Coturnix japonica: one gene and its partner. The protein of the gene in region 1 interacts with the protein of each later gene in a pairwise test. Links are inferred from orthologs where the notes say so. Each region holds a gene or a part of one and is shown on either strand. Other genes may lie near its edges.

Region 1 (3,129 bases):
TAACCATCTGGGCTTCATTGCCTCTTCTGCTGGGACTTTTGGAGTCTTAGAAAAAATACTGGGCTAAACCCAGGTGTGAAGGATATCAGCAGGCATCTGCTTTGCTATATAATGCTCTGATGTGACTTCAGATGCAATGGGAGCAGTGATTTGAAATCTTGGCATGTGTGTTTTCTGATAGGTGGCAAAAGTAAATCAGTAGAACTGGAAGACGTGAAGTTCCATCAGTGTGTTCGTCTCTCTCGCTTTGAAAATGACAGGACGATTTCTTTCATCCCACCTGATGGAGAGTTTGAACTCATGTCCTATCGCCTCAATACCCACGTAAGTCTGGATGTTTGGGTCTGAACCATAGCAGTTTTTTATGAGAATAATCTAGCCTGTAGGTAGAATTGCTGATGACTTTCCCGTGATGTGTTTTGTTTTTTCTTTAAGTATGGGCAGCATAGTAGTTGTGAAGTCAACCATTAGTAGTAACGCTTTGTGCTTGCTGTTTTTGGAGGAAGTAAGAATGAGGTTAGGAATAACTTGGCAGTAAGTCTCTTATCTTTTCAACTTCTATTGAAACTATTTTCAAAGCATGAATTAGTTCATTTTTAAGCTAACAATGCTATAAAATTATTGTGGCAATTTATTGTGCTTGACAGTGTTAATTTGTTAGCTGAATATTTCTTGGAGTATGTTAACATACCATATTCCTGGCTCCTCAAGGTAGCAGCTGCTGTATAAGTTAACATTCTTTTTGAAAAGAAAATATTTAGCAAAGAGGAAATATTTAATTGTCAGCTGTGACAGGAGACCAGCAAAACAGTTACAGAAAACAAAACAAAAAGACCTGCACATACGTGGAGATGTGTTTGACAACTGAAGATGTTAGGAACTAATCTGAGAAATACTTCTTTCTTTTTTTTCCCCCCCTCGATGCCTGCCATTTTTTAGCCACATTTTGCTTGTATGTCAGTGCTTACTTACAGAATTAATGTATTCAGTGTAGATTTGTGAGGAAATTACAATTTTGTGCACATGCCAAAGTAAAATCTACAGTTGTAAAATATCTTTCCCATCAGGTAAAGCCACTGATCTGGATTGAGTCTGTGATTGAAAAACATTCCCACAGCCGCATCGAGTACATGATCAAGGTCAGAAGTACTAAAATTATTATGGCTGGTTTGTCTTTTGTTTGTTCTCAGTGCTTGACCAGCAGAGTGCATTCCTGCTTACACAAACACCTACTATTTCCCTGGGATTTGTGTCTTTTTAGTGAAGTTCATTTGTGTTAATGTTCTGTATTGTGCTGTTTCTCAGTAGATTGTGGTAGAGGGAAATTATCTCACAGCTCTCTGAATTTACATGTGTAGTGTATGTGCTTAGAGATGTGATTTTTTTAATTTTTTTTTCTCACTTTTCTTTAGGCAAAAAGTCAGTTTAAACGTAGATCGACTGCCAACAATGTGGAGATTCACATTCCAGTTCCAAATGATGCGGATTCGCCAAAGTTTAAAACCACTGTTGGAAGTGTCAAATGGGTTCCAGAGAACAGTGAAATTGTCTGGTCCATCAAGTCTTTTCCAGTAAGTGCTATTTTTAGTCTTCTCACCCAATAGTACAATAATTACTTAAAGTTAATGGTTTATGACTCAGCCTAAGGCAAATTCTAAAAGCATCAAATGCTCCATAGTGATAGTACAGCTACCGTGCTATGTGATGAAAATGGTCAGAAAGAAAGCCAAACTTCTAATGTTCTCGTTGAGGATAAGACCAGAGGAAGATGAATTATGCCTCAAACTGGTCTTAAGTTGATCTATATTTAAAAGCAACAAAACAAACAAAAACCAAACACCACTATTTTTAAATAAAAACAAGTACTTCCTTCTTAGCCCTAGAAAAGAATCTGAAGTAATAAATGCAGTTCATCAATTTGATATTCTGCATAGAAAATCACTTGTATTGTTGGAAGCTTTTCTTGTTTCAAGAAAAAAAAAAATTGTTCTTTTTTTGTAAGGGTGGAAAAGAATATCTGATGAGGGCTCACTTTGGACTTCCAAGTGTTGAAGCTGAAGACAAGGAAGGGAAACCTCCCATTAGTGTCAAATTTGAGATTCCATATTTCACCACTTCAGGAATCCAGGTTGGTAGTTGAAAACAGAAATACAGAAGGAGGCTGTGTGCTAGGCTCCTGACACACAAGCTGATGCAGCCCAGCTTTGTAGCTTTGTCTGCCTTGTTCCTTGGTTTGGTGTAATTTTTGCTGTGTAATTGTTCCATGGTTTGGTGTCATTTTGCTGTTGTTTTTGTCCTGCTTTTCCTGGCTGTCACTGTCTCATTCACAAACATCTTCCTGCCCTTCACTTTGAAGTACCAAAAGTGTTTCTTTATTACTGAGGCAAGTCTGATTTTTTTGTTTGTTTGTTTGTTTTATTTTATTTTTTATTTTTCCCGGCTTTAAGGGAATCTTGTAAAGAGAATGATAGGACTGGCTGCATTATTTCATATGGAAAGCACACTGTTAATGCAAGTGACGACAGTTTATGTTTACATCTAAAGTTTTGCACATCTGGATAATTTCTGTTATTATTATCCATAGAATATACCATATATATCCATATATCTATCTATATCTATCTATCAATACCATATATATCCATATATCTATCATCAGCGATGATCTATATCCATAGATCATCGCTGCCCACCCAATCATCCCTGATTTCATTTTATTTTTTGCTAAACAATGCTTGGCTGACACGGGAGATTCATATTTAACTTTTCTTTCTTCCCAGGTTCGATACTTAAAGATAATTGAGAAGAGTGGCTATCAGGCTCTCCCATGGGTTCGTTACATTACCCAGAATGGAGGTAAATTGAAAGCAATGAACTATAAACATAATCTCTGTCTTAATGTATTTTAATTCTCCAGCATACACCAACAAATTGAAGATATGAGCAAACTGTTCTTGTGTTTCAGTATTAAACACTGCAGTATATGTACATGACATTAATGCTTGCTGATTTTTCTAGTCTTTTTTTTTCTTACTCAACTATCTTATTGAAATGCTCATTTAGACAGCACTGTTGTTCACTGAATGTGACTTTCATTATGAAATACTTAAATCTGGGGAGAAATATGAA
Region 2 (4,242 bases), on another chromosome or scaffold:
AGCGCTGCTACTGCATTAGCCACTACCTGCCAGAGGAGATGGGACACGTGTGAAGGGACAGCGAGCACAATGGGATGGCAGTTGTGGTTCTGGAGAAAAGCTGCTGCAAGCAGATGAGATGCGTCCTCAGTGTGGGGCCCTTGCTCTGACATCTGGGCACCAGCTTCTCCTCCACACAAGCTGATGTGCAGATGAGCTATCAGCACACATCACCACCACCCACACTGTGACTCTTCCCCCATCACTACTTGGCAGTTTGGGTGGGCAAATCCTACAGCCCTGTGCTCCTCCTGTCCCCTCCCGGCAGTCACCCTCAGCAGGGAAACAGCAGAGAGCCACCACCACATCAGTGCAAGCTGGTGTGAGAAGCCAAACATGCAGCATCACAGCATTCCCAGCCAGCAAATCCTGTTTGATGCCTTTCCTGCTCCCCATAGGGTGCAGAAGCTAATAACAAAGGGGAAATAATGAGATCTCACATCTAAAAGCAGCCAGGAGACGGTTATTGGACAAGAAAAGCAACCCCAGGGACAGCCACCCCCAAAAGCAATCTGACAAGCAGCAAAAAGCATCAAGAAATGAAGAGGAACGTGGGAGCAAGGATACAGGGCTGCAAAAACAAAGGAGGGCATCTGCTGCACCAGACAGGGAAAGCAAGGTCTGATCACCATGGGGTTGGAGTCCGAGATGAGATCCTTGAGGGTGTCCAGGAAGCCCTGGTCCTCCACCAGCTGGGCATTGATGTCATGGAGCTTGGCCACGCAGACGGCCGCTGTCTTGCGCACATACGGGTCCTCATCCTTCAGGCACTTGCGCAGGGGCTCACACAGGTACTCTGTTATCTTGTCCACACGGATGCAGCCCATGGTCCGCACGGCCAGGGCACGGATCAGAGGGTTTGGGTCCTCACAGTCCTGCAGGGCCAGAGGGGACAGTGAGAGCTCCAGCCCCTCCAACCACAGCCATCAGCAGCAGCTTCAGGACCTTGACTTTAATTCGGGTTCCTGAAGTCCTGAGGTTATTTGCATTCAGCTCCTGAGTGGAGTGAGTGCATCCCACAGAAGGAGTTCAGTCTCATTCCACTGAATTCTAACACTGTTAGAGCAGCTCCTGTTCCAAACACACCACAGAACCAGGCGTGTGCCCGGCTTACACCAGGGACACAACCCACCCAGCACCCCCCAGAACAGCCACCCGGCCTGGGGAACACAACCAGCACAATCACTGTTGTTGTTTTTTCCTTTTAAAAACACCAAAACTTCCTGGAAAGCCTCCCCACAAAAGGATCTGGTGGCCCAGGGGCTTCCAACAGACACACTCCCCAGCTCCTGCCCACAAAAGAAAGACCACGTTCTCTGCAGCAAGCTCAACAGGGGGCATCTCCAACACCACAAACATTTTACTCTTGCACCATGGGGCAAATTTGCTCTTATCCCATGCAAGGGGAGCCCTGATTTGCTGAGGGAAAGCCTTGGGCAGCTGCTTGCCCTCCCTTCGGTGGCAGGAGGCCAAAGTGCCGCCCCACAGTCCCTTCCCCTCACCTTCACAAAGGTGTTGACAGCCATGATGGCCATGTCAGGCTGGCTCTTGGCGTAGTTCATCAGGTAGAGGTAGACCAGCTTCTTCAGCTCCAGGTTGTCTGTCTGCATGCAGTTCACCACGTCCGGGAAGAGAGCGCTGAAATGTGAAGCACCGCAGATCTCAGGGCAAGTGACTGGGGTGTTAACACAGACATGATGCCCTGCTGGTGTGTGCCCCTTTTATCCTGGGAGAGCCACCAAACCCCATTTAACCCGGCCTTGAGCACCTCCTGGAATGGGGCACCCAGTGCCAGGGTCTCACCACCTTCTAAGTACAGAATTTCCACCTAACGCCTCACCTAAGCTTCCCCTTCTCTTTGTTTAAAGTCATTCCCACTTGCCCTATCGCTGTACAAAGTCACCCTCTCCCTCTTTTATAAGCTCCCTTTAAATACTGAAAGGCTGCAAGGGGACCCCTCCTCTTCCCTAGACCGAGCTGGCAACCTAGAAGGTATCCTCCATCCCAGATGACTCCACAACCCCACAATACAACCCTACAACCAGCCTGTGCTCACAAGCTCACAACCAGGCCTAAGCAGCCCATTGTGCTGGGTCTGAAGCACAAACCCCGGGGCAAAACCAGCTTTGGTGACTATTCCCCCCCTGCCCTGCAGCCCGTGGGACAGGAGGCCGGACACACCTGACGTCCTTGCCGACAGTCATGGATGCGATCACCTTCTTCACCGCCTCCTTCTTCTTCTCCTTCTTGTCGCTGTTCAGCTCTGCCTTCAGCTCGAAGATCTCCCCTATAGGGGAGGCAGGGGGTCAGCAGGGAGGTTCTAAGGGGGTCTGTGGGTGTCAGACCCCCACTTATGGGCCCCAATGGGATCACAGAGCCCGGCCCGGCCCAGCACAGCGCGGCCCAACCTCCCCCTGTGTGTGTATACAAACACTGTCCCATCTCTCCCTATGGTAAGGGCCGCCCCCTCACAGCCCCGTGCCCCCCCCAGGCCTCCCCGCAGCCCCCTCACCCTTCTTGGTGGTGGTGAAGTACTTGGAGTCCGTCATGGTGCCGCCGCGTTCCCTGCCGGGAGATGCACGTAACCATTAACAGACCACGTTCATTTTAACCCCCTAAACCTCTCGGTTCCCCCCCCCCCCCCCCGGTTCCGCCGCCCCCGGCCCGAACCTGCCACCGCACCGAGCGCTGCCCCCGGCCCAGAGGAAGTGAGGAGAGAGAGCTTCCGGGGAGGGGATACGGGGGAGGGGGCGGAGCTACGGGATGGGGGTGGGATGGAGCGGGGACAGCGCGTGGGGACACGGGGATAATGGGGTGGATATGGGGGGGGATGTGGGATGGGGACGTGGAACAGGGGTGTAGTGTGGGAGAAGGGATGGGAGGTGGGAAGTGGGCGGAGGAAAGGGGGTGGGGTGGGATAAGGGAAGGGATGGGGATGGGACAGCGGGTGGGAATGGGGGGACGAGGAATGGGAACGGGATAGAGGGGGCTGGGTCACATGTAGGGGCATGGGATTGGGAAGGGGGAGACGGGGGGTGAGGGACGGGATAGCACATGGGGACAGGAGTGGGGACATGGGGTGTGGGCAGAGGATGGGGTGGGATGGGCGAGGAGAGGGTGGGGACAGGGGACAGGGGTAGGGGAGGCACCGGGACAAGGGAAGGGATGGGGATGTGGACAAAGCGCAGGGACACGGGATGGGACGGAAAAGCGGCAGGGATGGGACAAGGGATGGGGCGGGGAGCGGCAACAGGGGATGGGAGTGCTATATGGGGGAGATGGGGTGCGGACAGAGCTTGGGGGCAGCGGATGGGAAAAGGCAGAGGGCAGGGGGACGTGGCACGGGGATGGAGAACGTGGGACAGAGGGACACGATGCTGGAGGGCAGAAGCACACGCTGTGTCATCCTCCTGGAACCACAGCAGCACTGGGGCCACCTCGCAGCCCCTCCGCGCACTGACAGCCGTATGGCCACTCCAGAGCGGCCCCGCGGGTTTGGCTGCTCTGCAGAGCTGCATCCCAGCGCTGCCCGGCACTGCAGCAGCTCCGTGCGCCAACGCTCCAACCCTCAGCACCGCGCAGTGTGGGCGGGGGGAGGGAAAAAAGAAAGTGATGAGTAGGGAGGATGCGATGCGCAGGACAGCGGGCTGTCAAGGTCAGCACACGGGGACCCCGCAGCCCAACGTGCAGCAGCTGCGGCCCCACCACCAGCCCACCTCCAGGGTCCCCCGGCAGGGTGTTGAGTGGCTGGGATGAGACATGAGACCGCATAGATGGGGTGGTCAGAGAGTGCTGACTGGCTGAGGAGACGGCAAGGCACCAGATCGAGTGGTCCCCGGGTGCTGGTGGAGTGGGTGCTCTTTGGGTACCAATACTGGGTGCTCCACGAGTTCAGATACTGGGTGCTGGCATTAGGTACGTGTGGATACCAACACTGGGTGCTCCATGGGTGCTGACATTGGGTGCTGACATTGTACATGTGGATGCCAACACTGAGTGCTGTCGTTGGGCGTTGGCACTGTGCTCCATGGATGTCAGCACTGGCTGCTCAATGGATGCCCACACCAGGTGCTCCATGGACTCCAGCACTGGATGCCCCATGTGCCAGTTGCTCAAGCAAGAGGGTGATGGCTGCACCGTGGGTTTCTCTCCTGGTTCCTACCCCCCTGCTCACCCGAAGACAACCGTAGAGCAGCCCACACC

Evidence for each region. The genes of interacting proteins can lie anywhere in the genome.
Region 2: the proteins of AP1M1 (region 1) and AP1B1 interact in a two-hybrid assay, tested with the Homo sapiens proteins (2 studies listed by BioGRID, with this or other methods). The link is inferred for Coturnix japonica from reciprocal best matches to the Homo sapiens genes AP1M1 and AP1B1.

What each region holds. Positions count from the first base shown.
Region 1 is NC_029543.1:3,465,648-3,468,776, reverse strand, and holds part of AP1M1 (AP-1 complex subunit mu-1), read left to right. Parts: intron 1-181; coding exon 182-324; intron 325-1,067; coding exon 1,068-1,139; intron 1,140-1,412; coding exon 1,413-1,571; intron 1,572-2,002; coding exon 2,003-2,128; intron 2,129-2,780; coding exon 2,781-2,856; intron 2,857-3,129. UniProt on the Homo sapiens protein: Subunit of clathrin-associated adaptor protein complex 1 that plays a role in protein sorting in the trans-Golgi network (TGN) and endosomes.
Region 2 is NC_029530.1:9,936,915-9,941,156, reverse strand, and holds the start of AP1B1 (AP-1 complex subunit beta-1), read right to left. Parts: upstream 2,829-4,242; 5' UTR 2,710-2,828; intron 2,605-2,709; 5' UTR 2,589-2,604; coding exon 2,552-2,588; intron 2,327-2,551; coding exon 2,221-2,326; intron 1,678-2,220; coding exon 1,542-1,677; intron 915-1,541; coding exon 669-914; intron 27-668; coding exon 1-26. Other genes in the region: NEFH (neurofilament heavy polypeptide), read left to right, coding at 4,067-4,242. UniProt on the Homo sapiens protein: Subunit of clathrin-associated adaptor protein complex 1 that plays a role in protein sorting in the late-Golgi/trans-Golgi network (TGN) and/or endosomes.